Alligator mississippiensis: one gene and its partners. The protein of the gene in region 4 purifies or fractionates together with the protein of the main gene of each other region. This does not show direct contact. Links are inferred from orthologs where the notes say so. Each region holds a gene or a part of one and is shown on either strand. Other genes may lie near its edges. The genes, in order: RFC1, RFWD3, SMARCAL1 and RPA3.

Region 1 (7,532 bases), on a different chromosome or scaffold from region 4:
CTTTGCCCACCCTGTAGATATGCCCCAATTAGACACCAATTTGGACATCCCAAAGAAAACCCCTAGCACAAGAAGCAAAATTGACTATGGATGACTTGCATTAATGCAGATCCTGATCAGAGTCTCATCTTCATTGATGCAATCTGTACTTCACAGTTCTTTTGCCTAGCTGTTGACCACCAGCGACTGAAATGTCCCACAAACAACCCCTTCATAGCATGATTCTCTTTCCATAATTTAGAGTTGTCCATCATGAAAAACATATATTTTGTGCCTTTCTTCTTGACTTGCTTGTTAGAGCAGGACATGCCCTGCTTTTTATGCATGCTGCTCTTCTTCAGTACTACCAATTGTGAAATAGAATGGATAATTAAATGATGCATCCATTTCAGTCTACATCTGCTGAGAAGCACTCTCATATAACTCATAGAGAAGCAGGGGTGCACTGATAGAGATTTTTTAGGCCAATACCGACAGCCAATTTTTAACGAGCCATATCTGCTGATACCAACCTGATTGCCAATATGCAGCCTGGCAACTTGGAGAGCAGCCAAAAAAAAAGCAGATGAATGCCAATACAGTATGGGACCAAATTTTCTTTTATTAATGCCGATACAATATGGGACCATTGTACCTCTAGAAGTAAGGCTAGAAGGGACCTCAAGAAATCATCTAGTCCAGGGGTAGGCAAAATACAGCCTGTGGACCAGACCCCTCCCACCAAGGGATTTTGTCCAGCCCCACCCAGCCTAGGCATGGGGGATAGCCCAAGCTATAGTACTGAGGCCAGTCCCACCACCCCCAGGCATGCAGCAGGGCTGAGGCACCACAGTGGCTGGACTCACTTCCTGGCAGCCCCAGCAGGAGCAGCTCTTCCCAGCTCCCACTGCTGCTAGACCCAGCCCTGCTGCCTGTGCACACCCACAGCTGGGGATAGGACCTACACAGGCAGGGCATGCAGCCAGGATGAGAAGGAACTGCAGACAGGCAGGAAGTGGTGTCCAGGAGTAGGACAGGTGGAAAGGACAGGGATCACAGGGCAGCATGGGGCCCAGGGCAGAGCTATGATCCACTTCTTGCAACAGGCCCTATTCCATGGTCAGGGACATGTAGGGAATAGATCACAGCTCCTCCCTGAGCTCAAGCCCTGCGCCCATCAGTGCCATAACATCCCAGCACCAGCCCTACTCACTCATCCCACTCCCCACTGGCCTGCGGTCCCATCCTATCCAGCTGGCTGGACACCCTGACCATGCTGGTCCTGGTCAGTCTCCTTTCCTCCTTACAAAATAATCTTAAAAAGTTTCCTAAGCTAAAGCCATTGGAACATAATACAAATACAACTTTTCAAACTCTCAAATTGTGTGAATATTTATATTGTGATACTACTCCACACAGCACTTCCCACACATATACCTCTGCTCTTACCAATGCTATCTTAAAAAAAAAAAAAAAAAAAAAAAAAAAAAAAAATGAACTGAATATATTCACCCAGCACACACAATTCCTGAGCCATAGCCAGAATGCTTATTCTGGTAGATTGGTGTACTGTAAAGCTAAGTGTATTCCCAAATCCTCCATTTGTCAATTAATTATTTGCATTCCACAGCTGTATGTGATAGGAAAGTCCAGCTCATCAAATCAAGCATGAGGACTGTAATGAGAAGGTAACAAATGTATTCAAACAGGCTTAAACCAAAATAACTACATTATTTTTAATTTAGGCTTTGGCCATTTTGGTGCAAGACTGTACGAACATTGACACTAAAGGCCCAATTGTCATGGAAGTCGCACCAACTGAAATTAAACAAACTTCAAACAAAATTTTATCCCTACAAGGAAGCTCTCATCTTGGTTTAAAGCTGATTGTATCTGTTGATTTACACCTGCATAGAGCTCCTGGCATAAACAGGAGTAGACTGTTCCTCCAAAACAGTGGTGTTTCAACGTTTTTGCCCCAAGGGCCGGATAAGTGGTGCCTGGTCCCGCCATAAGCCAGATCCTGCTGGTGGGTCCAATCTGGTGCACAGGGGCCTTGACAGGGCCTAATCTTGCCATGCAGAGCAAGGAGGGGAGCAGCCCAGCCCCAATCCAGCAGCAAGGGGTGACCTAGTCCCAATCCAGTCACAGGGGAAGTGGCTAGGGGCCTTGCTCCCCCACTGCCAAATTTCTCAACCCACGGGAAACCCTGCAGGCCAGATGCCAAGGCTAAACACCCCAAGCTCTTGCCACTCTCAGACAAGATACCAGGCTGCAGAACTTTTGGCCAGACCCAGCAGAGTCCTGCTTACATCCTTAAACATTAAGACCTTTTAGTGGGAGGAAGAGTCTCTCTCAGGCATCAGCCTGGTGTCAGATCTCAGGGCCAAGCTCCTACCACACCAGGCAGGCTGCAATATCAGAGTTACCTTCGCAGAAGCTTCCAAGGGACTTAGGAGCCACCAGCCCCCCCGTTTCTCTGAGACAGTGGTTTCAAGCGCATGGCCCCAGGAGTAGCGGAGGGACAGGGGTGCCTGCGCTGACACCACTGACACAGAGCACACACGGGGCTCAGTGCACGGTGTGGCACAGTGGCTGGGTAGGGAGCAGAGCACAGGGCTGGGGGCATCTCAGAGCATCTCAGAAAGGTGCGAGTTTTCACAGGCAGCAACCAGAGGGAAGGCAGGACCTGCCCGCACGTGACAGCGGGTCCCGCCGGGGGCATCCGGTTGTTGCCGGCGCGACTCAGATGTGGGGAGCCCCGGGGCGCGGTGGGGAGCGAGACCCGCGCGTCAGGCCGGGCCGCCCCGCGGGCTCCTCAGGGCAGCTCCAACCCGGGGGCACCAGCCCGAAGCCCCGCCGGGCTCCCGCTCCCACCCCCACCCAGCAGGCCGGGCCGGGCCGGGCCGGGCCAGGCGCCGCTCACCATGCTGCGGGCGACGGTTTATCCCGTTAGTGGGACGGCGCCAATCTCCATCCCCCTTCGCGCCAACTCCGGCCGCTGGCGCGCCCAGATGATGTCACAGGCACGCGGGGCGGGGCGGGGCGGAGCGGGGCGGGCGGCGGTCAGGAGCGTTCGGAACGCAAAACGCGGGGGCGGGGCCCGGGCTCGGCCGGAGTTGGCAGCTAAAGCTTTGCTAGGCCCCACCCGCTTTGCCGGGTTGTTGCGTGACTGGGCTCAGCGGCAGCGTCTGCTCGGGCACGTTCCGGCTGCTGGATTCGGCCCGGGGGCCTGGCGCGCCCCGGCCCTGCTTTGCCCGGGGTCGGGGGAGGAAAGCTCAGAAAGGCGGGCTAGCCCTGTCCGTTGGCACTGCTGGGCCTGTAAAAGATGTCACCCTCGGCAGTGCCTGCTCGCATCATGTCTGTGGGCTCCCTCGCGGCTACAGCGTCTCTCGGACACTAACGCACCTACTGGGGCAGATGCAAGGGTCCATTCAGGAAAAATGGGGAAGAAACCTTTCAAATGTCCGCTGATTAAAGCCTTTAAAAAAAATCGTACTTCCATGCCCTGCTCCCCACGTTTCTAGAGGGGGGAAACCTGCTCAGGCTGTCACAGAACCTGCAGAATCCAAAACGGTTATAACAACCCAAGCAGGTCATGCTCCAAATGCAGTCCTTTGGGGGGCTCCTGCTCTTCCTTGCCTCTTAGTCCCCTGGCATTTCTTGCAGAACTAGAGACGGTAGGGTAGACTTGCACCTTATAAACTAATGTAGTTTAGAGAGAGCTAGATGCGGGGTGCAGTTATTTCAGTTTTGACAAGCTGTCCAGACCATACTAGTAGTCCCGCGCCTTGACAGATGCCCGGCCCCTGGTTGCCTTCTTGTGACCAGAAGTCCCTCCTCCTAACCCCCGACCTTTGCCACCATAAGTCCCTCCCCTTGCCCAGGGAAGTTATCCTTTCAGCAGAGGTTTTGCCATCTTGGAACCAGAAAAATACCAAATCATATTCTAAAAAGCATTCATTAATTTGGTTTCAAAAAATATTTTTCTCCTGATTTACATGTGTTTGTGTAGTGTATATAGAGGTGATTGGACAATAGCATAAAATGAAGTCTTACTCTTGTATATTGTGGGGGGTGGGTATAGGTTTGTGGGCAGGTGTGGAGTGAGGGGGTGTGTTTGTGGATATGTGGCGGGGGGGGGTATGGGGTTTGTGGGGGGCTGGGTGCCTGGGGCATGTGGGAGGTCTGTGTATATGGCAGTGCAAGAGGGCGTGGTTGCATATGTATGGTTGGGTGTGTGTATGGGACTTAGTCTATGAACACACACACTGTCCCTGCCTGCATACATACACATTGTGTTACACAAATTGCCAATTGCTCAAATCACGAGCGAGACCTTATGAGGGAAGATAAGGCAAGATGCCGCATTTACAGATTAAGCACCTAATACACACACACCACATTCATACCCCAATTTCTATTCTGCGCTGGTATACGTTACCAGTCTTATTGGTGCTTGAATCAATTTGGTGGCCAGCCAAGTTGATCATGAGTGGGAGCTGGGCCAGTCCACTTCCTGCCAGTCCATCCCATCAGACAAAATGATGCTCCAGGATGACAAGCAGAACAAGACCCCAAATCAATATGTTGATATATTATAATATATGATATAATATATATACATATATATATATTATTATAATATATATAATATGTATATATTATATATTATATATAATGTGTATATATTATATGTATATATTATATTATATATTATATGTATATATATTATATCATATATTATAATATATCAACATATTGATTTGGGGTCTTGTTCTGCTTGTCATCCTGGAGCATCATTTTGTCTGATGGGATGGACTGGCAGGAAGTAAACTGGCCCAGCTCCTACTCACGATCAACTTGGCTGATATATATATATATATATATATATATATGATATAAGGTGCATAGTATATCACCCCATCTTTTATAGCCTTGTCAATTCACCCAGTTCTCTGGGCTTTTGCTGGGTTATCATTGTGTTCTTTCTTGAAGGCTGATTGCCATGGGCGACTGGTGCCTCCTGAGTCTGGGGGGTACCAGATTGCCAATGCAGGGGGTCCCCCAATGACTGACTGCCAAGCCAGCAGTGAAACCAGAAGTTCATTTCTACCGGCACTTCCAGTTTCGTGGCTGGCACTTCCAGGGGGTGCACAGCCGATCTCAGTGGGTGCACGTGCACCCACGTGAACCCCTATGCATTGTCAATGTCAATTGCCGTTGTTCTCTTGCTGTTCTGGGGTGGATTCTTGTTTGGTCTTTTATCTGTCTGCATTCTTAAACCAGTCACCAGCTGATGTTTTCCTTTTCCACAAATACACGCTCACCCATACAACATACTAAAGAGTAAAAGGTCAAGCACTTATGTCAAGCTACAGAGCAATACAAAATGGAGTTTCTTAAGGCAATGCAAAACTTAAGAAAATACATAAGATTAAAAGCAATACGCAAAAGTCTATTTTCATGTTATTTACCTAACATCAAGCTGGTATTTATGCTATTTGCCTAACAACTGCTCCTACCTGTCCACACACACACTGTCCTTGCCTGCCCCCCCCCTCCCCCCCCAACACACACACCGTCCCTGCCTGCATGCACATATGCAATGCAAATACCAGCGCAGCCCCGTGCTCCCCTGTCCGGTGATGTAGCCAGCAGCCACATGGTGCTGGAGCAAGGTGGGGGCAGGAAGGGAGTGAAATGGCTGGGGGTGGGTGGGGCTGGGCTGTTCCGTCCTGCTGAAACTCCCCCTGGGTCCTACTGCCCTTGACTCGTCAGCTTTGACAGGCTGCTGGGGCAGATAAATATTCTCTAAATTTTTTAGGGGACCCACAGGCCAGACAGAATGTCTTGGCAGGCTGGATTCAGACCACAGTCTGTATTTTGCCTGCCCCGAGATAGATATATAGTCTATAGATACTATAGTCTATAGATACTATCTATCTGTCTAATCTAACTATATATGTATGTGTGTATGTGTGTATATATATAGATTTGTACCTTATAGATTAAACTAAATATATATATAGATATATTCAAATATTATACAAGCCTAAGTCTGTTTCTGTCTGTCCATAACGCTTTATTCACACTCTGATTGGCTGACAAACAGCCAATCAGAGTGTGAACAAGCCTTTGAACAGGAGGTGGCAGCGGTGGAGCACTGCTACGATGGTGGGGACACAGGGGTGGAGCGGGGGTGAGGCCAGCACAGCTCCCTGTTCCCTGGAGGCGGTAGCAACATGGCGGACAGAACAGGGGGGGCGAGGCCAGCAGTGCTGCCCTCGCCCCCCCCATCTTGCTCCCTGCAGGTGGCAAGGATGGAGCAGAGGGGGGCAGCGAGGCCAACAGAGCTGGCCTTGCCCCCCCTTACTCCTTGCAAGTGACGGCAGTGGCAGCATTGTGGGGGGAGTGAGATCAGGATGCCGCGGTGGGGGCAAAGCCATCAGCACTGGCCTCTGCACGCCCCTCCCCCCTTCCATTGTCACCACCATCTGCAGGGCCTGACGCAGGATGATGCAATGGTGGTGGGGGGAATAGTGGGCACACCGCCACGGTGGCGATGGAGGGGGGAGGGATGGGTCCAGGCCTCATGTGGGGGAGGACTGGGCCCAAGGGTAAGGAGAAGTTGGGCCACCACAGCGAGAGGAGCAGCAGGCCTGGGCTGACCCAGCAGTGGGGGGGGGGGCAGGCAGATCGAGCTTGGGGCCAACACGGGGGAGAGGGGAGGCTGGGAGAGGAATGGGACCAGGCCCGAGGCAGGAGGGAGAAGCCAGCCTGCCACAGTGGTGGTGGGTAGAGCAGCAGACCCAGCCTGATGTGGCAGCAGTGGGGGGAGGGGAGCAGTGGGCCTCCCCCCCTCAGGCCCAGTCCCACTCTTCCCCCATCCCCTCTCCCCCACATCAGTTCCAAGCCCATTTCTTCCGTCCCCCCTGTCTCCACCACCGAGTCAGCCCAGGTCCGCTGCTCCCCCAATGTGACGGCCCGGTTTCTCCCACGCATCAGGTCCGGGCCCACTCCTCCCCTTCCCCCATGACTGCTGCCGTGGGGGAAGCGGGCCTAGCCCAACGCGACCCAACACAGCAGCCTCCTCCCCCGTGTCAGGCCCGGGCCCACTCCTCCCCCACTCCCCCTTCCCCACGTCAGCTCCAAGCCCACTCCTCCCATCCCCCTGCCACCACTGGGTCAGCCCAGGCCCACTGCTCCCCACCCCCCCACTGCAGTGGCCCGGCTTCTCCCCACCCTCAGGCCCGGTCCTCGCCCACATTGGGCCCGGGCCCATTCCTCTCCTCCCCCCGCCGGTGCAGCAGGGAGTGGGGGAATGGGCCTGGACCCCAAGCAGCAGGAGGGAAGGGGGGAGCGAACCTGGACAGGGGGAGCACAGGGCTCCATCCCCAGCCGCTCCCCCCGCCCTGTCATTCTTGATGGGCAATTGGCTAGTATAATATATATAGCACAAACTGTCTTGAGCTCAGAAAAAGCTTATGATTATATATATATATAAATATATATATATATATATATATACATAGTCTACATACAGAGTCTGT
Region 2 (7,834 bases), on a different chromosome or scaffold from region 4:
TGAGAATTACCAACTCAGTGCTGGTAACACTGGCTTCAGCAGGGATGCTGGTGTTTGTACAGCAATCTTTCCATTTGATGTGGAGGATTTTCCAGAGGCATTGTTGATGGTACCTCTCTAGGTTCTTGAGATGATGATGGTAGGCCACCCATGTTTCACATCTGTAATAGGAGGGGAGGGGTAATGGCTGCATTGTGGACCTGGATCTTGGTGTCTTTCTTGAGATTGCAATTATTAAAGACAAAAAAATGCAATTTCCCAAAGGAGACACTTGCACTCCAGATCTTGAACTGGATCTCCTCATCAGTGTTCACTCTCTGAGAGAGGGGGTTACTGAGATAGGGGAAGTGCTTGACTATTTCCAGGGTCTTTCCCTCAGTGATAATTTCATGGCCTACTGCAGGCTGATAGACTACTTTAGTCTTCTTGATGTTGAGAGACTCAAAATTCAGTAGGCTTCTCCACAGATCCAGCGTGGTCTGGAGGTTGTTCTCAGTGTGCACAAGGATGGTGCAGTCCTCAGCATATTGAAGGTCAGTATGGTTGTTTTGAGGACTCTGGTCTTTTGAGTGAAAACATTCCAGATCTATGCAAAGAACCACTTTGAAGAGTGGTCTCATTACCCTAGGGGTGATTCATTTTCAGTTCGGGTGCTAACAAAAAGTTAAAATATTTGTATGCTGAGAAAGCTGAACCAATGCCAAATGTAACAGTCCTGGTTTTTCTCCAGGTTTACCTTAAACCTTACTTACCCCTTTGTGGTCAAGAATGTTAATGTTAGTGCATTTTCATGAAGGTGAATACTTCAGAAAAAGAGCTTTTAAGAAGACGTATACCTCAAACTTAAGAGCATGCCACACAAAATTAAAACCCTGAAATTAAACAAGTGCTACAGCAAACAAAGATTTCTTACTCTTCAGATTGTTGTTATCCGATGATACGTTTGTAGTTAGATTCATATCAGACTAGAATTCTACTGATGGCCAAACTTCTGACTTCAATTTCCAGATCAAAGATGGCATTGTCCATTTCAAGGATGGCACCTATGTCCCACATGGTCAGTCATGACTCCAAAATATTTGAACTCTGTTATGACCCATCCCTTTTTTGTCACTTTAAAACATTTAAGTAGGTGCCCCAACATTTCTGGTGGCCAAGGATATTCTTTAATAAGGACACAATGTGAAATGGCATTTCCCCTCATGCCATTAACAACCACATTTCAACCTGGGATATTCACTTCCATCTATTTCATTTGTTGACCTCCCCAGCTCTGAAGACAACAGCTGTTCTAGTCATTGTTCAACTAATTAATGTTATATTTCATCCTAGAGTCCCTACCTAAGGAAAAGGCACAAACCTGTTTGAATGTTTTCTTTCAGACCTCATGATTTACAATCTAGCATTGCTACCAAGAGGCAAGTAAAGCAGTTTTAGCATCAACTTATGAAACTTCTGAACACTGAACAGAAATAACATATTGACTCTTCCATAAGAGCTTATAGTAATTGGCTGATGTGATTGCAGAATTGCTGGCCATTATATTTGAAAACTCTTGGAGCTTGGGGAGGTCCCAGATGATTGGAAAATGGCAAATATAGTGCCCATCTTTAAAAAAGTGATGGAGGAGGATCCAGGGAACTACAGACCAGTCAGCCTTACCTCAGTCCCTGGAAAAATCATGGCACAGGTCCTTAAGGAATCCATTTCTAGGCACTTGGAGGAGAAGAAAGTGATTAGGAATAGTCAGCATGAATTGACCAAGGACAAGTCATTCCTGACTGTCCTGATTATGTTCTATAATGATAACCAGCTCTGTGGATGTTTGGAAAGCAGTAGGCATGATATACCTTGACTTCAGCAAAGCTTTTGATATAGTCTCCCACAGCATTCTTGCAAGCAAGCTAAGGAAGTATGGGTTGCATGAATGAACTGTGAGGTGGATAGAAAGCTGGCTAGATAGGTGGGCTCAACAGTATCAATAGCTCAATGTCTAGATGGCAGCTGGTATAAAGTAGAGTGGCCCAGGGGTCCTGGGGCTGATTTTTATTCAATATATTCATTAACAATTTGGAAGATGGGATGGAGTGCTTCCTCAGCAAGTTTGTGGATGACACCAAGATGGTGGGAATAGTAAATATGCTGGAGAATAGGGCTAGGATTCAGGGTGACATCAACAAATTGGACTGGATCAAAAGAAATCTCATGAGGTTCAACAAGGACAAATGCGAAGTCCTACACTTAAGATGCTAGGATCCTATACACTGCTACATGCTTGGGACCAACTGGCTAAGAGGCAGCTCTGAAGAAAAGGACCTGGGAGTTACAGTGGACGATAAGCTGGATATGAGTCAACAGTGTGCCCTTGTTGCCAGGAAGGCTGTCTCAGACGGCCAGAGCCAAGTTGAGGTGATCTACAAATTGCTTGGCCGTTGGGTGGGCTGGTGAATGGAGAGGCAGACAAAACGTATTGGTTGCAAAAAGGCTTTACTTATGCCGCTAGTAGCCGCGACGCAGGTGGTCCGATCGCTTAAATAATTACACGAGTTGCTCCAGCTGGCAAAAACCCAGGCCAGCGAATCTGTAAACGAACCAGGCATGCAGGAAAAGGGGTACGTCGAGGGATAGCATTCGGCGATGGGGAGAAAAATCGATAGTTGATCAGGCTATCGATTCGCTCTGCCACGTCAGGAATTCTTTTAAGTCACTCTGCAGCATGCTCAAAGTTCTCCGACTTGGGCGGAAGTCGCACAGAATTTTATACGGCTAACAAGCCAATCGCTAGCCGCCACATAGGAATAATTTAGAATCAGCCAATGATAGGACACAAATTTGCATACAAATGGCGGGAACTCTCTTGCACCAGAGTTTTCTATTGCAACAGAAAACTTTTGCTGTGCACAGAGACTCTCATGTGGCGAGAAAAATTCCATTGTGCCGAGGCACTTAAAATCATTGGGTTATGACAAAGGCTAACAGCATAGTGGGCTGCATTAATAGGAATATTGCCAGCAGATTGAGGAAATTATTCCACTCTATTTTGCACTGGTGAGGCCACATCTGGAGTATTATGTCCAGCTTTGAGTCCTCCCCTACAGAAAGGACGTGGACAAATTGGAGAGAGTCCAGTGGAGGGCAATGAAAATGGGTAGGGGGTTGGAGCACATGGCTTATGAGGGAACTGGGCTTAGTCTGCAGAAAAAAAGAGTGAGCAGGGATCTGATACCTGAAGGGTGGTTCCAAAGAGGATGGAGCTAAACTGTTCTTAGTGATGGTAGATGACAGAACAAGAGCAATCGTTTCAAGTTGCAGGAACGGAAGTTTAGCTCAGTTATTAGGAAAAACTGTCTCACTAGCGGGGTGGTGAAGCACTGGAATGGGTTACCTAGTGAGGCTGGTGGAATCTCCATCCTTGGAGGTTTTTAAGGGCCAGCTTGACAAAGCCCTGGCTGGGATGATGTAGTTGGGGATGGTCCTGCTTTGAGCAGGGGGTTGGACGAGATGACCTCTTGAGGTCCCTTCCAACCTTAATTTTCTATGATTCTAATCATGCAGACCAGCAGCATCAATCAGAAGGCACCAAGTTTTGCTTTTGGCAACAGGGTATGGCTGAAGACAGAAACTCATCTGCATTTAACCTTCAAGCAAGTTGTGCCAACAATAAATTAGCTTATTCAAAGTCCTTCAGCAAATCATCCCAATCACTTTCAAACTATAGGAAGCTAAGTACATGAAAATGAATCCAGCAACTCCCTCTCCTTCCTCTGTTTGGTCATTGCAGCATTGGAGGTCATCAGATGCTAGCTGTAAAAAGGGGTTTGCAAGTAGCCCATTAGTCTCCTTCCTTTGCTGCTGCCTTGTTTGGCTTAGCAGAACAAAGGCTGAGAGGGGATGTGATTGTTCTCTATATACAAACTCATCCAGGGAGTAAGCACCAGGAAAGAGTCAGAAGATATAGCCCACGTGCCAGATCTGACCCATGGTGGCCTATCATCTGAATCATATTGCTGCCCGGGGGTCTCAGATTGGACCAGGGTTGCAGACTCAGACTGGTTTGTGCTGTATCATATCTGCTGCATGGGCCAGATCCTGCACATATGGAGCTAGGTCCAGCACTTGCACTACATGTGACGCGTGCTGCCTGTAGTGCTTGCACTGGAGCAGCCCCGTGCTCTGGATCCAAAGTGCAGAGCTGGTCTGTGGGCCGGCTCTGGTCCCCCGATCAGCCCCGCTACTCATCCGACCGTCTCTGTGCGACTTACCCAGCCTGTGGGGCTAGATGCGTTTGATATCCCTGCTCTAAAAGAAACGTAAACCAGAACACATCCTTATAAACTCATCGGAAATATATTTGGCCTGGAATTCGGAAGTTCTCGTAGCAGCGTGAAGAGCGATGTTGTCGCCGTGACAGTCCCCAGAACACGTGAGGCGAGGACTCCTGAGGGAGACATTTCTTACTAGACCAACTCCGTAGCTGGTACAATAACAGGGCACACCTCAGAGATCCTCGTCTCCTCGCAGGCAAGTGCAAGAGCTCCCCCCGCCCCGCCCGGCATTTGAATGCAAGCTTTCTCGCGCCTTTTACCTCGTCAGACGGCTCCTCCAATGAAAATGCCCTTCCGGGCGCTGTGTCCTGCCTCCGATTTTGCTGATCGACAGGCAACTCGCCAATCATAATTGAGCGCTGGGGCATCATTTCTGCCCCGTGCCGCCGCGTCGCCTGTCTGGCCAATAAAAGTAGAGTGTGTGAACCTCCCCTCCTCCTTCCTCTCGGCCCCTGGCGAACGGGCCGCGTCCGCATCCAATAAGAATGCTCATTGCGACGGCGGGCTGTCCAATAGGAGAAGGGGTTGCGTTGATGGAGGGCTCAGCCCCTCAATGAGGTGGCGGGGCGGGATGTGAGGCCGCGGCGGGAGGCGATGGCGGCTGCGGCGGGACGGTTGGAGCTGGCGGCCGCGGCGCGAGGTGAGCGCGGGCTCGGCCCGCACAGACGCGCTGCTCCGTCCCGGCCGCCCCCTGCGGTACTGCGAGGGGCGCGGGATCCTGCGGGCAGCGCCCGGCCGAGCCGCCGGAGCCCGGCCCGCGCACGGTGTCTGTCTGGTCTCCGGGGCCGGTTCGCCGCTTTCTTGCGCTGCCTCATATTGACGCGTGCTGAGATGAGGTGGATGCGGGCCAGGCTGGCTCCCCCTTCCCACCGCTGTCCTTTGCCCTGAGGCAGTGCTGCGGGTCGGCTCTGCCTGCTGCAGCCCCAGGCAAGGAGCACGTAATGGCTTCTGTCTCTCTCACCAGGATGTAGCAGGGGTGGCAGCTCCAGCCGTAGCTGACGGCCAGGGCTGCCAGCGCTGTGCCGGGAGCCAGCATGTGCTCTGTGCCCTGGGCCAGAGTCAAACCCAGAGCCGCAGCTCGAGGCATGGGGTGAGGGGCAGACTGCTTGACTCCTCCAGCACTTGCCCTCATGATGCTGCATTGCTCATTGTAGTGGTGGGGGAGACAAATTTAACATGACCCTCCAATAATGAAGTTTTTCCACATATGGGAGGCATGGGCAACGGCAGGATGCTGCTACCTGCTCAGAAATGCAGGCTGTGCAAGGCTCCGAGCGGGGGTGGGGGCTGGGCCCCAGCTGCACTGGAGCAGGCAGCAGCAGCACTGGGAGGGGCAGCTATGGGATGGGCTACAGCCATTTCATTTCTCTGTAGCCCCTCTGCCCAGCACCACTACCATCCACTGCAAGTGCTGGGCTCTTCCCACCTCCTGAGGAAGAGCCCAGAACAGCCTCCAGCCCCAGGCGCATAGCGGCAGCCCACCTTCACCCCGCACGCAGATCTGGGGGGGCACCTGCCCATGCCCCCTGGATGAGCCATGGCTCTGTCCCATATCCTGCCTCACCCCGACCCTCTCCCTCACCAAGAGGACCCCAGTTGCCTGTCCCCCCCCAACAGACTTACTGGCTGAACAGTACTGTCAGGCTGCACTCCTGGCTGTGTGCATTAGGGCTCTGAAGCTTCAGTTGCCGATTTGATTTGGAGGAGATTCAGCCCGATTCGGCAACCAAATCTCTGAATCCAAATCGAATCAGGAGGCCTATTAAAAGGTCTGAATCAAATCCAAATCCTCTGAATTGATCATTGATCCTGATCGACCAGGGAGAGGCAGGCACAGCTGGGCGGCTGCAGGTTCTCCTGTAGCTCCTTTGGCTGTGCCTGCCTCTCCCTGGGCGGGGGGAGCCATGGGAGAAGCCCCCATGGCTGTCCTCCTCGGCCCCATCCCCTGCACTCACTGGCTGCAGGAGCAGCGATTGGGGCCTCTGAGGACTTGTGGCAGAGCCCCCCTGCGCAACAGGGGGCAGCAGGGATTGCCTCCCCACACACCTGGCACCTGTGGGGAAACTCCCCAATGGTGTGTGTGCAGTGCCGTGTGCTATCTGGGAGCTGGGGCCGCTGGGGCTGAGCGCTGCCAGGCTCCGGCTGACTGCTGGAGCTACCCCAGCTCCCAGACAGTGCGCACAGGGAGCCACGCTGCTCCCGTGCAATGCGACAGCTGCCACGCAGGTGCCAGGTGTGGGGAGTGATCCCTACGCTATACAGGGGGCTCTGCCACAAGCCTTTAGAGGCCCTGGTCACAGCTGCTACAGCCAGTGAGTGTGGGGTGCTTTTTTTTTTTAAGTGCTGGGAGGCTCGGCCAGGCGAGGGATGTGGCTGGGCAGGGCAGCTATGGGGGCTTCTCCCATGGCTCCCCCCGCCCAGGGGGAGGCAGGCACAGCTAGAAGAGCTGTGAGAGGGCTTGTAGCCACCCAGCTCTGCTTGCCTCTCCCCAGCTGATCCGAATCTCCAATTCTGATTTGACCAAATTGAATGGGGACAGTGATATGAATCACCGAATTGAATCAGTGTCCTCCGAATTAGCCAAATCCGAATCGAATACTTCCTTATTCGCGCAGACCTTGTGTGCGTGCTGCAGCTGTGCACACACGCGTAACATTTATCAGTGACATTATCAGCCACATCAGCCAAAAAAGGCTGATTGCGTTTAATGTCAATTTTCCTTTTTTCGATGTCGATACCATATAGACTGATATATCAATGTACCTCTAATGTCTATTCATAGATTCATAGATGCTAGGGTTGGAAGGGACCTCAATAGATCATCGAGTCTGACCCCCTGCATAGGCAGGAAAGAGTGCTGGGTTCAGATGACCCCAGATAGATGCTTATCTAACCTCCTCTTGAAGACCCCCAGGGTAGGAGAGAGTACCACCTCCCTTGGGAGCCCATTCCAGACCTTGGCCACTCTAACTGTGAAGAAGTTCTTCCTAATGTCTAGTCTAAATCTGCTCTCTGCTAGCTTGTGGCCATTATTTCTTGTAACCCCCGGGGGTGCCTTGGTGAATAAAACCTCACCAATTCCCTTCTGTGCCCCCATGATGAACTTATAGGCAGCCACAAGGTCGCCTCTCAACCTTCTCTTTCGGAGGCTGAAGAGGTCCAGGTGCCTCAGTCTCTCCTCATAGGGCTTGGCCCGCAAGCCCTTAACCGTACGAGTGGCCCTTCTCTGGTCCTCCTTCCTCCCCTTCTTGAAAATGGGGACCACGTTGGCCCTTTTCCAGTCCTCCGGGACCTGGCCTGTGCGCCACGACTGCTCAAATATTACCGCCAGTGGTTGCGCAGTGACGTCAGCCAGTGCCTTCAGTACCCTCGGATGGAGCTCATCCGGGCCTGCTGACTTAAAGGCATCCAGTTCCTCCAAGTGACCCTGCACCATCTCAGGGTCTATCTTATTCACAAATATTCATTTGTATTTTTCACCATAGTATCTGAGAACGTTATGATACTTT
Region 3 (7,973 bases), on a different chromosome or scaffold from region 4:
AAAAACATTGACATGGCAGCTACAAGTTGCCTACTTAGACTGTAAACTCTTTGGAGCAGGGACTCTTCTGTTTCTTAAATACCTTCAGGGAAGAAAGAGGCAGCATGTAATAAATACCTGGCGAGACAGTGGGAAGCTGAAATCAGGCCTAAGGGGTGGAGTTTGTAAAACGCCCAGCATTGGCCTAACTGTTCACACTGCTTTTCTTGAAGTCGGTGCTGCTTGCATTGAACAGCCCACTTGAAATATGTCATCTTTGTAACTGTTCCTTATCTCCCCTGGTCCAGAATGAAAAAAACCCTTATGCCTGATATTCCACATACCAAGGCAACCAACCGCACTGGCAGCTTAACAGAAAGCCCAGGGGGATCACAATAATTCACTTTCCACCCACCCAAATAATAGGAAAATGAACAAAAAAAATATATCAAGAAACCAACATTTTTTTTTTTTTTTTTTTTTTTTTTTTACAGTTCAAGAAATAGCATCGGATTCAATTTCTCAATACAGTATTAGCCAGCTGCACTTCTGGAACATTTTCAGTTTCTCCACATGGCCTTGCAGATTGTACTTTTATGAACTGAGCCATTTTTGCCTAGAGTGTAGTTTGTTAGCTTCTGAAATATTCAGTTAGCGATTGAGAAAAAAAATTCTGTTTGGCATTTAGATAACACCTCAAACCTCAGTTAATTCTGACCAACTACCGCGATTCACAGCAGAATCTCATAAGCCTGATGCCTGAAAAACAGGTCTCCTGTTTGAACAGCTTTGCCTCTCTATTGCTCCAAGAAATAATACAGCAAACAATAATCGTATAAGCAGGAGACAAAGTCTTTGATCCTGCTTATCACTCAACAGTTCTCTGACTTACTGAGATGGCAGTAGTCTTCCAGGCTAAAATTCCACATCTTCGTCGCCGGATCTGAAAAAGGACCAATTTTGAGTCATTTGTGGATGGGAAAAATGACTGCATGTTAAATATTAAAATACCAGGCAAAAGGCAATCCGATCTATCCTTGCAGACTCTTCACACAAGACTACCGTTCCTAGATCATAAAAACGTGGGACAACTAGAAATACAACTCCAGAAGGACTAAGCACCGGGGCAACAAAACCTATACATCCATAAAAATGAGGACGTAAATCCCAGAAAGGAGCAGAGTGCGACAAGGACAGAGGATTTTGCAAATTAAGATGGGGGAGAAACCACACATAAGGACATCTAGATTCTCCTTTTAGTGCACAGGACAGCTGGAGACTGTATTGTTGGGCTGGTACTGGTGAGAGCCACGGCTATCAGCCTGCTCCAAAGCAACTAAAACTGACTAACCATTACTGCATCCCCAACAGCCCTCCTGAAAAGATGGGACCGCCTGGAGTCACTAAAATCTCAGGGTCCTTTCCAAAAAGCTAGGGGTTTCAACTCGGATGATTTAGGAAAAGAGCCACGTAAGCAAATTACTCCTTGCATTCTTCTGCAGCTTTGTCTGCCTTATTTTTCACATCCGCAATCAAAACGATATGTAACATTATTCAAGAGCAAACTGGATGCTTATCTTGCTGGGATCCTATGACCCCAGCTGACTTCCTGCTCTTTGGGCAGGGGGCCGGACTCGATCATCTTCCGAGGTCCCTTCCAGCCCTAATGTCTATGAAATCTATGAAATTATCGCCATGCTCCATCAGGCCAAAGGCTGCATTTCCCGTATAAACAGGAAATATAGGCATTGTTACTCAAAAGACCAAGATCCGACATAACGACGCAGACATAAACCCAACCTTAACACGGGGCGTGAGAACTCTTACCGTAACTTCTGCTAGGTACGGTCTTAAACACGGCAATGAGCTCCGCGCTGTAACCCACTTCAACCTGGAAGCGGTCTCCGCCGTGTCTCACGCACCTCCCTTTGAGAGCACAGCGTGCTTTGCTGTGAACGGCAGAGCTCCCACCACCGCAGCTGTCCCTTTTCTGCACCTTAGCCTCTTTCAACGGGGCAAAGGGCTGCACCGTGCTGTAGAAATGAGACACGCTGCTGCCACCACACGTCTCGGGGCAGGGTCCGCACGGGGGTCTGCTGGCATCTGTCAGCATCGAGTCGCTTGGCAGCGGCGTGTATTCGGTCCGACAGTGCATATCCGCGAATCGAGGGCACGAGGCTTCTGCGGGGTTTTTGCTCGCCAAATAGTACTTCGGCTGCTGCGGCGCTTGCTGATGCTGCGCTCCCGAGCGCGGCGGCGGCAGGGGATGGCTCCAGGCATCCGCTGGCGGGAACGGCCTTGTGCCGCCTGCTCGGTTCGAGCCCTGCGGGTAATTATTCGGTTGCGCTCCGCACAAACCAGCCGCCGGCGGATGCGCATGTGTGTCGACGGGACTCGGCCCTTTCTCAACGCCGTCCTTCTGCTGGCTCTGGCCGCCGGGGGGCTGGTGACACGACCCGACACGCCGGCCATCTTGCTGCAGGCTTGCTGGATCCAGGCGCTGGGAGGCTGGACGGCCGACCTCCCCCGGTGCCGCTCGCCGCTCCGCTCTCCGGGCCAGCGCCTTCTGCCTGTTCTCCTCGATCCGTCGTTTCTGCTCTTCCGTGAGGCCGGAGGACATCTTCCACGCCTGAGGGGAATTCGGGATGCGGCCGCCTTTAAAAACTAAAAATAAATTAAAACAAAAAAATAAAGGAAAAGTAAAAATAGGCAATTTTTATCCATGCCCCTCCGAAGGCTTTTATTTCCTGCTCTGTGCATCCCTCCCCTCCCCCCCGCGCACAAGTCAGGCCCTCACGGCCCCAGGAGATGGAAACTGAGGCCTCAAAACCAGGGGCACGCCCCCTCGGCCAAAGGGAACAATACGCCCCCCTCCCCCCCATTCAGGGGTCACCACCTTTGACCCCTCTCCTAAAAAAATGACGCCCCCCTCCCCCACCTTGATGGAGGCCCAGTGGGGCTCAGCCCCCGCCGCTGATGGCGCGCAGCCGCGCGGACTACAACTCCCAGGAGGCACCGCGCCGACAGCGCCTCCGGGGAGGAGCCGGCGCGCGCGCGGCATGCCGGGAGGCCCGCCGCATGCTGGGAGCTGTAGTTTTTTTTGTTGTGGTGCTGTGTTCTGCTCATGGGCCTGCCCTGCCCCAGTGACCCCCCCCACCAGCAGTATTATTATGGGATGCACCCCCCCCTCCCACCCACACACACACACACAGAGCAAAGCTGGTTGCACTGGGAATAAGAGGGTGCCAAGGAGGGGGAGATGTGGTGGGGCCCGCCGGGCGGTGGAAGCCACATTGGGTATAATGCAGGGAGGGTAAGTGGAGGCCCATCGTTCCCCAGCCTCTCAGCACCGCGGGATTAGGGACCGCTGACAGCACCGTGAGCTAGTGCTTCTTCGACCCTCTCTCTGCTCCTCCGAATGAAGAAGGTCGTCCCCAAATTACTTCCTGATTAAAATGCTGAGATTGCCGCGAGGCAGAGAATAGCGGGGGCAGGCCGAAGACGGATAACGCAACGGGTAAGCTGCGACTTGTCCCTCTAGCAGAGAGGGTGTGCACACGCGCACACATATACATGCACACACGTGCACACACACACAATACATGTATGCACACATGCACGCACACATATACACACGCACACACACTCATGCGTGCACATGTGTAAGCACACATATACACACGCACGTGCATACACACGTGCATAAGCACACGCATATACATGCACATATGCACATGCACGCGCACCCATATATACACATGCACGCGCATGCATACACACACACGTGCATGCACACACATTTCTGCCCAGAAGCACTTTTACAATCTTCTCTCCGATGCCTGTCGAAGGATTTTTGTGCCTGAAAGCTTGCAATTAAAGACTTTTTTTTGCAAAAATCTTGTAAGATATCACACCGCTACCAAAAGCCCCGATTGCCCTTTCCTTTAGACCAATCCAGCTACAACCTGGATAGCACATGCACACACACACACACACACACACACACGTTCTATGCATGCGCGCACATTCATTGGATAAAAACACACACAAAATGCACAGACACAAACAGGCAGCATTGTACACCCCACCTTTCTGCACACATGCTGATATGCACAGAGAGACACAGGCGAGTTCACACACATGCACCACTGTGTACACATGCAGGTGTGCCAGCTAACACGCAGCTAATGTCCTTACACTCCTGCTTTCATGCAGTGATCTGGCGGTTGTGTGTCACGGCTGCCCTCTGCCAGGTGAAATCAGAAGCGGTGAGCTGTGTATCAGAGGTCCTGTGCTATTAGTGGCTAAAGGGGATTCTCCTTTCTCTGAAATCGGAGGGACTTGTGATTTTAGGGCTGCTCTGCAATCTAACTGATCTTTGATTCCCATGCGTCAGCTCAGCCATGATGATGAGACCTAAAGAAGTCTTGCCACAGCTTCCTACGTTACATCATTAACTGATCTTGGATAGTCTCTGTGATGTCCTGCCTAAACCTTCCTTTACTCATTTTGTCCCTTGCCCTGAAACAACCTTGAAGACTCCCCTCTTTTGCACCTTTGAGATACTTGGAGACAATCCTCATGTTTCCTCCTAGAGCATGCCAATGAGGCAGTCACTCTTCTGACTGTAGGTCACTCAGGTGGACCTACAAGTTGGACTAGGTGATCCTTGCATAATTTTGTATCTTTAAACTTTCTACCTCGAGGAGTGAGAGTATGACTGATGGGTACTCATTTTACGCCCCCCGCCCCGAGCTCCATCTACTGTTATCGGCCCCTGAGCGAGCTAGTTTAGGGCCATCCTAGGTATGTCTGCCCTTGACTGCAGCATAGACTAGTTAACTGGTTAATATTTAATCCTGTTACTCAGATTTGTACTTTGTCTCTTTTTTCACAGATAAATATAGGCCCAGACTGCAACCGTTGAGCTGAAGCTTTACCTGAACCTTTAAGGAGAGCTGGACCCAACCTCATGTCCCCAGACCAGCTATCTCCCAGCAGAGACTGATCAAGTGATTTACAGTGAATCACTCGGGGAAAGGGAGGAGGAGAGCTTTATTAGCCCTTGGGACTAGGGGAAGAGCTGGAAAAGGAAAGGCCTCTTGGGACCCTGCTTTGGTTGAGGGAATAGCTTTGTTCTGTGCTCAGATAATAAGCTGAGTCCTGATGGAAAGGGTTTGCTCCAGGCTCTCAGGGTGACATTAGGGTTTCTTGGACTTTTAAGTGGGTCAGCAGCCTACACTCCTCATCCCACAGCCTTCAGAGTCATGCTTGGATCCGCGTTTCGGGCCCATTTCCTGAAGGGGTGGAACCAGGGTGTCAAACCCCAGTAGCCCGAATTGTTGAGAAAGTTGGGGATTTTCATCTGAAGCTGAACATAGCAGCTCAGATCTGTCTCCCCTAACTCACTTCCCTCTGGCTACACCTGTTCTTGTTGGTCTTCTCCAAATTCTTCCCCGTTGTCTCCATCTCTCTTGTACCACCAGATGCTGAGCACTGAACGCACAATAGATTTGACGAATCCCAATACCCTGAACTGGGAGAGCCGTGCAGCGTTTCCTGCAGCTTGCTGTGAGTACTTTATATGCACAGGGCTGTTGATCTCTCTCTCTCTCTCTCTCTCTTCCTCCACATTGACAGCTGTCTTGGTGGACAGTTCTTCCCGACATTGCACCACCCAATGAAAAGAAAATGGGCTGCCCCCTCCTTTTTGAAGATACTGTAGTATCCTGGATCTTTCTAGCGCACAGAAATCTTCCTGCTTCTGCTTACAGTATAACCCCTCAAAAAGATTATAGCCTGTCTTTTCCAGCTTCCACCTGCCTCAACAAGGTTCCTACTTGCACTTTCAGCTGAGAACTGCAGCCCATGCAGCCACAGTGATCTTTGTGCTGCTATGCTTTTGTTGCACTGGTGCTGTAAAACCAGTCTCTTAGCTGTTATGTGTTGCACCACTGGTGAAAGGATAGACCAATATCTTGGAAAAAAAATTTAAAAGTTGGGTTCCCAAATCTATTTTATATTAGGGGCCTCATTTTCAAGCTCAAACAACTTATCTATTGCTGAAGTCTTGACCTTTTGAGCCCAACTTGAGGCTCCTATTGATTAAATTCTGGCCATAGCCCCGGCCTGTTGCAGTTTAGTCTTCTTGGGGTGGGAAAGACCCAGATAATCAGGGCCCATCACCCAGCTATCCAGAGAAGTCCTTTAGGCGGCAGCCTCAAAGGTCACCTACACTAAATAATTAACCATCAATGCAATATTAATAGTGCTTCTGCATTGCACCGCAGTAATGTTTCTCATCGGAGGATCTCAAAGCACTCTCCAGACATGCTGAGCATGCAGGGCAGTTATAGGTCAAGCAGAGTGGGGTGAATCAATAGTCAGGATAGGAAACTGAGAAGGAGACAGTTTTGTGACTGTTAGGGGAGAGCTGATATGGGGAGTGTCACAGAGAAAGGGAGAAGTAAGGAGCCCTGAGAAGAACATGGCAGTCAGTAATACTGTGTGTGATCCAAACAGTGTTAGGGCCCAAGGGTCTGCTCCAGAAGATGAACTATTCGTGGGGCTTCGCCGACTGGCAGTAGGTGAAGCCTGCTACAAAGGCTCTTCCAGAACTAAAGCTAGTGACTGATATACTTCATCCATGAAACGTGCCCACCTCTGCTGCACTTTGTACAGCAGTAAGCAAGCAGTCGATGCTTCACTAATAATAAAGGAGGACCCGGTACGTGGCTGTCATCCCTGTGGTCAGCAGTGAACCAATAACACAGTCCTATGGCTCAGCACTTATCCACCTCTCAAGCAAAGCGCTTAAGCATGAGTTCAATTTTGAACATGTTCTAGTATCCCAAGGACTTCAGTAAGTTATTAGCACATCTTGGGGGTTAAGCCTATGTTTAAGCTTGTCCCTTGAATAAAGTGATGCGCTCAGTCAGAGCCAAACCCCGTTCACTAGAAATCGAAGTCTGCTCATTAAGATGTCAGCAAAGGGAACCTGAGTTTGTATATCTGTGAAGGACGGGCCAGATCCTGCTGTCACATGTGCTTCCTACTGCTACCGGTCCATCTCATTGATGTCAAAAGGACTGCTTGTAGCAGCAGGTATCATGCATTGTCGTAGCTGTTTGAAAGATCAGGGCATTGTAAAGCCTTGTTGGAAACTTGGGGTAGAAGCTGTTGAATACATGTATTATTATAAATTATATGGTACTAGATGCCATAACGTGGTTACTTATTTCTGGTACTTTATTTGCCTGTTTTGATCATAACAAATATTATTATGACCAGAGACTGAGTAACTACTACAAAGGTGCTGCTTAAAAAATATGACTACAGAAAGCAGATGCTCATCGAGTTAAATAAGAAATTTAATTACCCTGCATTTTATCTTGTTTTCAGCAATATGATGACAAATCACATCTTAATAAAATAACATTAGGGAGAAGCACAATTCCAGCGCTTCAGGAAATGAGAAGCAGTATAAGTTATAGGCCTGCTCCTACTGACTGAGTCAATCTCATTCAGAAATCAGACATGATGCTAAGATGGATAATGCTTTAGCAAAATGAACCCCTAACAGTTAGAAAGATTTACTGCTGCTTCAGGTTTTCAAAAGCTGAATGCAGGGTGCATGGGGAGAAGGGAGTTCAATGGGTGTTTGGCAATGCCATTCCTATGTGTTATTGGATCTCTACGTCGGCATAGGGGTACCAGCTCTTGACATCCACATGAAAGGGTTTTTCCTTTACTCCGAGATGCTTGCGTCCCAGGTGGACGCTGTAGCATGCATCATATAATAAACAAGGGCTGGACAGGTCACAGAAAAGGAGCTGGGGGTCGTGGCACAAGCCAAATACGAGTCAACAGTGCAATGCATCTGGTGATGTAGGTTGCCTGTGAAAGCTCATGTCTCCCTGAATGAGTTAGTCTCTAAGGTGCCCCGCTGCCTTGCCTTCTGCTTCATGAGCTAGTAGGGGCTTTCTTAGTTGGTT
Region 4 (7,968 bases):
GAAGACTTCCCTTTACAGGAGCTGTGGTGATTTGCACTCAAGTCAGGAGTATCTAAGTCTCTTAAAATTCAAGAGCTAAACTACTTGCTGTCCATTGTGAGTAAGCCAGACAAAAGGACAATAACCAAATCCACTGAACTAGGGAATGGAGAAACAGATCTTTCTATATGCAGAATAGTGCACTTTTCGGGTACCAGTAATGGGAGTGGTACAGTAACCTGTGTAAGAATATATTTGACTGAATACAATCTTGCAGCTCTCTCTCTAATAATACTATATACAGTTTGTCTGTTTCCTTTTCCTGTTCAGGACTAAAGGAATTATGCATAATTAAAGGTTACATGATAGCCCCATACTTGTTCTAGGACTTCAGGATTTTCCTTTTTAAACAGTTTTAGATTCATTTTGACTAGCTGTAAATCAATCCTTGCTGTTCATTTTGGTGCATTTCCCATGAGGATATTGCATATAGTTGCATTATGATCACCAACTCAAGAACAACTCTACAGGAGACAGATTTCTGGAAACAGCTACTCTATGTATATGCCCCTGCCAGGAAAAAGGATAAAGCAGATCTTTCCTCTGCTCTTCTTTAAAAATAACTTTTAGAATGCAAAACAACATTCAATCTTAAGACATATCTTTACTTACCAAAAGGGCTTTTATCTTCTCTGAACTGGACATATGACATACACATGATAGTTGCCTGATTTGTTACTCTTCCCACCACTTCAAGGACTCCAGAGATTTCTTCATCTAACTGGTGAACATACAGAAAACATGTTACTGCCACAGTTGTCTTATTCTTTTGTACTCAGCTACTTACATACCCAGTATCAGTTTGCAACTTGAGAAAATGGAATGCTTGGTTTATTGCAACTGCTTGTTTGCTCCACTTCATGAAAATAAAATACTGCTGAAAAATAAGTCTAAAAATCAAACTCAATTTTATGAGATGAGTAGTTTTCTAACTGGCTTTAGCTTCCTAAAAATAAACAAAAGATGATGCATCTTAAAAGAAGCATCACATTACAGCATTTAACCCCTTACCCAAGCAAAGGGCACAAAGAGCAGCGGTGACCAGAAGCCTGGATGGGTTGTCCAAACCCTGTTAAAGTTTGGTTAATGCTCTCTGTAAGCTGGTACAGAGGCAGAAAAATACTGTGTATCCTAGAGGTGTATTATGAGGGTTGTTCCTATACTTGTAAGGGTAGAAACTGCAATTGAGTGCACAGGCTATGACAAGTCTTTTAGTCAAGGATTTTCACTAATAGGTTTTTGCAGGAGTACAAATAGAGGAATGTATAAAATATGCCAATCAGAAAAATCCCTCCATTAAATGAAACATCACAGAAAACATGAAAGAGAGACAGAACTTGTTAGTGCCCAAATGGACAGCTGATGAAGGGAAGAGGAGTTGGAAATTCAACTGCAGCACCTAGTATTCACCAGGAGAAAGATGCAAGTCTTAAGTGTTTAAATGCAATTATGTATTTTATTTTAGAGAACTTTTTCGTCTAACTGGCTAGGACAGTTACTGGAAGTATGAAAAGTGTTCTAAGCAGGGATCTGGTAAGAATTCAGACAGTTTGGTACAGATGCTGCAGAAAAGATGCCAGTAAGGAAATATATTTTAAATGCCTTAAGTAAAACAAGCACAGGAAAGAAAAGGGAAAGATCATACCAATGAAGGGTTAAAGCACCTCCTTGCTGAAAGGATTAAGCTTTTTTTCCAGTCAAAATTTATCCTGCTTCCAGCAGGCAGATCAGCAAACAGCATCATGGAAAACTGGTTGGACAGGACCTCAGGAGGTCACCTAGTCCAACCCCCTACTCAAAGCAGGACCATCCCTAACTAGATCATCCCAGCCAAAGCTTTGTCTAGCCAGGTCTTAAAACCTCTAATTTGGAGATTCAACAGCCTCTCTGGGTAACCAGTTCCAGTGCTTTACTACTCTCCTAGAGAGGAGGTTTTTCCTAATATCTAACCTAAACTTCCCTTGATGCAACCAGAGACCGTTGCTCCTTGTTCTGTCATCTGCCACCACTGAGAAGTCTAGCCGCATCCTCTTTGTAACCCCACCTCAGGAAGTTGAAGGCTGCTACTAAGCCTCCCTTGGTCTTCTCTACACTAAATAAGCCCAGTTCCCTCAGCCTCTCCTCAGAAATCATGTGCCCCAGCCCCCTCACCATTGTCATTGCCCTCCACTGGACTCTTCCCCAATTTGTCCAAATCCTTTCTATAGTGGGGGGCCCAAAACTGAACACAGTACTCCAGATGTGACCCCACCAGTGGTGAACAGAGGGGAAGAATCACTTGCCTTGACCTACTGGCAAAACACCTACCAATGCAGCCCAGTATGCCATTCGCCTTCTCGGCAGCAAGGGCACACTGCTGGCTCATATTCTGCTTCCTGTCCACTGAAACCCCCAGGTCCTTTTCTGCAGAGCTGCTGCCCAGCCCCTGCGAGGCACCAAGGAGCAAGCCCTGGTGCAGGTAACCCCAGCAGGTCTCGTAGCCAGTCCCACTGCAGGGTCAGTCGCTTGCAGCTACTTACAGGCTCGCTGAGCTCCACGGTGGCGCTCTTGCCTTCGCCGTCCGAGAGGACAAACATTTTCCCGCTCGGGTGAATCTGAGGAAGGCGGAGAAAGTGACGTCAAAATGGAGTGCGAAGGAGCGACGTCACTCCTTCCTACACCAAGTCTTCCCCGTGTGCAGCCGGCGCAACCCCCCAGCCTGGCTCCAGTGGGGAGGGGGAGGGGCGAGGCCTCGGCCTAAAGAGCGGAGCATGCGCGACCCCCGAAAGGCCCCGGCCAGCGCCGGTACCTTTTGCACGCGGCCCACGAAGCAGACGGGCTGTCCCACGTGCTGCGCGAGCTGGCTGGTGGTGATGCGCGGCCGCGGGCCCTCGTGCACGTCCTCCATGTTGAGCGGCTTCCCGCGCCCCGCCGCTGCCTCCTGGTTACCTCGGCAACGCGGACGCACGCAGGGGAGGGGCGGGGCCGCCGCGCCGACCACCAATCAGGCTGCTCAGGGGCAAAAAGAAAAAAAGAAAACCCAACCCGAGGGCGCGATGACGTAACCGGCGGCTCCTGGGTGGCGCGCGGGGGTTCTACGTCACGGCGACGCGCCGGCCCGGCCCGGAAGCGAAGGCGGCGGCGGGAGGTGGTAAGTGGCAGCGCGCGCGCGCGTGGCTCCGCCCGGCCCAAGTGTCCGCCCTCCCCCCCCCCGCGTCTCGCGTCCCGTGTCCGTTGCTGCGGGGCGCGGCGGGAACCCGGGCCCGTTATTGCCCCGCCTCAGTCTGGCCCGGCCCGCTCCCGCCCTGCCACCTGCCTCGTCCCCGGGCCGGGCCTTGGCACTGCCTCGGCTTTCTTAGGCGCGGGATTTGCTTCGTCAGATGTGTCCTCGTGACGACGTCTTTGCTTCGCTCGGCGTAGTGACTTTCGTCATCATTCCATCAGCTCCTTCTGCCCTGCTTGCCAGTGGGCCCCTCGGATCTCCTTCGTGCCGGCCGAGCACCCTGCCCCCCACCCGCCCTCTGGGCGCTTTGCTCCAGAGGGACCCACCCCTCTGTAATTTTGCTGTAGCTAGAAACCGAGTGAAAAGGAAGAGCTGGCAACTTCAGGGGTTGCCTGAAGGCTGAGAGCAGGCCTTGAGTCTAAAAAAGATTAAGAGCCGCTGTGTTGTAACCTGTCCGATTTACTGCAGATAACATTGGCTCTGCTCCCACATCCGGTAATAATGAGGACGCTGCATGCAAGACGCATGAAGCACTGGCCCTTGTTTGTCTGTCCAGAATACTTGCCCCTCTCTCCCTCTGACAGCCAGGCACCTTTTATGCATTAAATAATTTTATCTTCACAGTCGTATGGCCCTTGTGAAGCAGAGAATTAATTAGCCACTGGTGTTTTAGACTGACTTACCAGCATCAACCTGAGGCAGAGCTCGAGATTGAACACGGATCTTCCAGAGTGTTTAGTTCAGTGCCTAATTATAAAGCCACTTTTCCTCTGCATTGCTGCTTCTTGTCTTAGAGCATGGGTCGGCAACGTTTTTGGGCAGAGTGCCCAAAACACCCTCAACTTCAACTTGTAAGATGTTGGCATGCCAGGGGCAGATGGTGGGGGAGCCACAATGGGGCCCAATCCTTGCTGTTGCTGTGTAGCCCCAGCTGCTTCCCTGTCATCCACCCAGAGGTACGGGTGCCAAGCAAAATGCCTTAGAGTGCTGCACTCTGGCACCTGTGCTGGAGGTTGCTTATCCCTGTTTCAGAGTTAGCCCACACCTTAATTATGGTCCCTTTATCCTCTCCCTTTCTCACATCCATTCTTATGCTCCCACTCAATACAGGGACGGTGTTTGTCTTTGTGTTCCAAGGCTTCATTCCACTTTAAATCTTTGAATGTGAGCTGCAATCTTAATGATGGGAGGATAAGGTAAACATAATGGGAATACCAGCCAGTTGGAGAGGAGGGGAAGGCACCAAGCTGTTGCGTATTTAGTCATTTTAATCCATCATATGTCAAGATAGAGCAGTTGGAAAAAATGCATCAGAACAGTTCTTTATGAAAGTGCAGCCCTAGAGCATGAAACTAGTGGAGACCAAACAGTTGTAAACAGAGCTATTGGTAGGAGAGAGACTGAATTCCAGCCCTTGAGGGCAGTGTGTTTAGTTGAAATGCATTCTTCTTGCTCCAGATTGGGGCTTGATGCTTGAAAGAGTTCCCTCTCTTCCTTTCATAAAAAAAACACAAGATGGAATTTTTACTGTCTGTTCGCACACCACTATCATACAAGCTTCTGACTTTACTGTTATTGAAGTCTATTCCTCCATTGTTCTACCTCAGGACTGTTCCATGTCTGGCAGCTGGGGGCTGCACACCACTTGGGCTGCTAAGTACCAGTCCCGTCTCGTCCCCGTCCCATCTCTCCCCCTCCCGCACAGTGCAGGCAACACCCCCTACCTGCAGTGCATTCCATGCAGGCACCCCTTTGCAGCACAGCTTGGCTCCCCCATCTTGGCCAGGGATGAAGAGTTGCACACAACATGCACAGTTGGGAGTAGGGAGAGAACTGGGTAGCCAGCCTCCCAGTCGAGTGTGCTGTGAAATCAGTACTCCCTCCCTCCCCCCCTCCCAACTCTACTGCACATGCAGCCTGGCTTCCCTTCACCCCACCATGTGTTCAATGTGTTGGCAACTGGTACCACCTTGGGGGGGGAGGGGAGGCATGTGCCCCCCGCCAGTGACCAGTCAGCGACTGGGGGGATCTGTCCCACAGCCAATGTCGCCGACCAGAAAGCAGCCGCAGCGCTCCAGCCAGCACTCTCGGGGGGGGGGAACATTGGCACTCCCACCTCCCCCCCCCCCCCATAGCCTAAGCGGGGAGCACAGCCTGTCAGGGGGTGCATCAGCACGCTCAGGGGGAGCACGTGCCCCTCCTACATGTCACCACTGGTTCAATACCTGTTTCTCACTCTCCTGGAGGTACACAGAATCCACCTTCAGTGTGGGCAGCCTGGCTCCTTTCCTGCATTTACAGCTTGGGCACTCCAGTCCCTTACATGTTGCTGTGGCAAGAGAAATTGGAGAAGGTGAAGTGAGATGGCTGGGAGGGGATTGGAGATGGCTGGATGGGAGCCCAGGGGCCTCATGCTAACCATTCTGGGGCTGCATGTTCTACCTCATTGCTAGTTTTAAAAAATTACCTCTGGAATCTTATTTTTTACATGTGAATATGCACAGACACCTTCCCCCCCTCCACCTGGATGTAACAATTTCTCGTGTTGCCTCTGTAAAATACTACATAAATAGCTATGTTTAAACTTTCTGGGGATCTTCTTTTTTAATCTCCTCTTCCTTACCTACTGCTTTGTCTTCATTTTGCACAAGTGTCTTGTCTAACAGATTTCTAAGAGCTAAAGTCTATTTTATGGTGTTTCTCAGGAATGCAAACTTCTTGTGGTAGGACTAATAAATAAAGCCTGTGGTCTGAGTGTGCTCTGTTTTGTTCAGGTAGTAGGCAGTACTGTGTGCCTCACAGTGATAAACACTGTAATATAGTTAAACAGTTGTACAGGGCTGTCTGATTTGGAAGGAGAACATTTACTTTATGTTTAGTTTATGCCCCAAGGCACAGTTTGCAACTTAAGGGTTGTAAACAACTTGCATGTTCCGTGTTTCCTTGTTGAATAGGAATCCCAGAGGGGTGCTAGTATGGGAAAGATTGAGAACTACTGTTTTGAACAATTGATTTATCTTAATGTAGGTTGTATATTTACACCTGTTACAAAATTATCCCATTCCCTCCTTAAGATCAATTCAACTATCTGTTGTTATCTCCTCCTGCATTAAATTCCATGCTGCATGCAGAAGTTAGGCCTGTGCAAATAGGGAAATATTTGATTCATATTTGACCAATTTGAAGGACAGTGATTTGTTTTGGAGATTTGGATCACTGTCCTGAATCGATTTGGCCAAATCGGCTTGGAAAGATTCAGCGCTGATTGGAAGAGATTCGGTGATTTGGCAATAGACTATAATGGGGAATCACTGAAATACCTATAACTTTGTCATTTTTTTGGCAAATTTAGATGAAAACAGCAGAGATGGTAGCCCCTTGTGAGGGCATGAAGCCTGCCAAGTTTCAAGGAAATAGGTGCACGGGTTTCTGGGAAACTGCACCTCAAACTGTTGAAAGCAAAACTCATGTCACTTGTATGTGTTAAGGCAGATTTGGATGAAAACAGCAGGGATGATAGACTGTAACAGGGGGCCTTCCCGGTGCTGGTTAGATCTCCGCCCGCCTACCTGTTTCTGGGCCAGCCACCCACCCCTCTTTTGCTCAGGCAGAAACAGCTCACAAAAGGGACAGAAAGTCTGCAGACAGAGGCTTATGCTATTTCTACGTCCCTCCCCCAGAGCACTGTGATTGAACAGGGACTCGGGGAAAGATCACAGTCACTAGCCAGCTACAGATGTCAGTCTTTCCCCCCCTACTTCCCCTCCCTCGTCTCAGTTTCTGTTCCCCTGAAAGACTGCCTTCTGAATCTCCAAATCTTCCAGATTGATTCAGAGGCATTTTTTGGTCTCCTGATTCAATTCGGATTTGGTGATTCAATCTCCGAATCGGACCAAATCTTCTCCGAACCGAATCGGCAACCAAAGCTTCATACAACCCTAACAGAAATGTCTTTGTATTATATAGATGTGCACAACTCTAGAACTCTTGGTTCATACTCTTGGATGATACCTCTTAGTTAGTTTAATACAAGGTCACACAAAAAAATCTTTTTCTGCAAGCTTTTGGGCTCACATACCTTTCCTCACGCTCAGGGAAAATGAAAGATGGTAAAAAGTCCCAAAAGGTAGAAAATAATTATGTATTATTAATAAATGTATTTATGTCATCATGACTGTTCTTTCACTGTTACTAGATTTTCTCTCCTTTTTATTTTTTTGATGGCATATACTTTCACTGTCCCAGAACATAAAGATTACCTTCTTTTCATTTTTATTATAAGATATGGGAAGTCTGTAAGAGCTTGGACAATAGCATCCTCGGTATGTATGTACCTGTCTTTTCCCCTGACATCTAGCTATATTGTATAGCTATAGTTTATCCTAGGACGTTTTAGAACCTGCAGTACATGTAGGCTCACTTGAATTAACATTATATATATTCCTTTATTAAAAAGAAACAAAACTTTATTTGTTAAAAAGAAAAATTTATATGTATTTTAGTTAGACCAACACAATTTGCTTAGTTGATACCAACTTTAAGTGCAACTAGTGTAACGGCATAATTTTGCTCTCCTAGACTTGCCAGAGTTAATGTCTTGCTTTATTACTCATAGTAATATGTTGACTTATGGATGTTGATCACTTGTCTTGATAGAGGCGGGATAATTTTAAATTAATCAAATGTATTTTTATTTTCTGTCTACGATCTGTCTGAAGTAGTAGGAA

What was found.
Region 1: the proteins of RPA3 (region 4) and RFC1 purify together in Homo sapiens (affinity purification with mass spectrometry; 3 studies listed by BioGRID and IntAct, with this or other methods). This does not show direct contact. The link is inferred for Alligator mississippiensis from reciprocal best matches to the Homo sapiens genes RPA3 and RFC1.
Region 2: the proteins of RPA3 (region 4) and RFWD3 purify together in Homo sapiens (affinity purification with mass spectrometry; 5 studies listed by BioGRID and IntAct, with this or other methods). This does not show direct contact. The link is inferred for Alligator mississippiensis from reciprocal best matches to the Homo sapiens genes RPA3 and RFWD3.
Region 3: the proteins of RPA3 (region 4) and SMARCAL1 purify together in Homo sapiens (affinity purification with mass spectrometry; 3 studies listed by BioGRID and IntAct, with this or other methods). This does not show direct contact. The link is inferred for Alligator mississippiensis from reciprocal best matches to the Homo sapiens genes RPA3 and SMARCAL1.

What each region holds. Positions count from the first base shown.
Region 1 is NC_081825.1:50,653,440-50,660,971, forward strand, and holds the start of RFC1 (replication factor C subunit 1), read right to left. Parts: upstream 3,013-7,532; 5' UTR 2,909-3,012; coding exon 2,906-2,908; intron 1-2,905. UniProt on the Homo sapiens protein: Subunit of the replication factor C (RFC) complex which acts during elongation of primed DNA templates by DNA polymerases delta and epsilon, and is necessary for ATP-dependent loading of proliferating cell nuclear antigen (PCNA) onto primed DNA.
Region 2 is NC_081833.1:40,708,357-40,716,190, reverse strand, and holds the start of RFWD3 (E3 ubiquitin-protein ligase RFWD3), read left to right. Parts: upstream 1-4,825; 5' UTR 4,826-4,919; coding exon 4,920-4,965; intron 4,966-7,834. UniProt on the Homo sapiens protein: E3 ubiquitin-protein ligase required for the repair of DNA interstrand cross-links (ICL) in response to DNA damage. Plays a key role in RPA-mediated DNA damage signaling and repair.
Region 3 is NC_081827.1:252,486,185-252,494,157, reverse strand, and holds the start of SMARCAL1 (SWI/SNF-related matrix-associated actin-dependent regulator of chromatin subfamily A-like protein 1), read right to left. Parts: upstream 3,003-7,973; 5' UTR 2,918-3,002; intron 2,644-2,917; 5' UTR 2,600-2,643; coding exon 1,807-2,599; intron 923-1,806; coding exon 872-922; intron 1-871. UniProt on the Homo sapiens protein: ATP-dependent annealing helicase that binds selectively to fork DNA relative to ssDNA or dsDNA and catalyzes the rewinding of the stably unwound DNA. Rewinds single-stranded DNA bubbles that are stably bound by replication protein A (RPA).
Region 4 is NC_081828.1:170,932,419-170,940,386, reverse strand, and holds the start of RPA3 (replication protein A 14 kDa subunit), read right to left. Parts: upstream 3,015-7,968; 5' UTR 2,927-3,014; coding exon 2,828-2,926; intron 2,634-2,827; coding exon 2,559-2,633; intron 761-2,558; coding exon 652-760; intron 1-651. UniProt on the Homo sapiens protein: As part of the heterotrimeric replication protein A complex (RPA/RP-A), binds and stabilizes single-stranded DNA intermediates that form during DNA replication or upon DNA stress.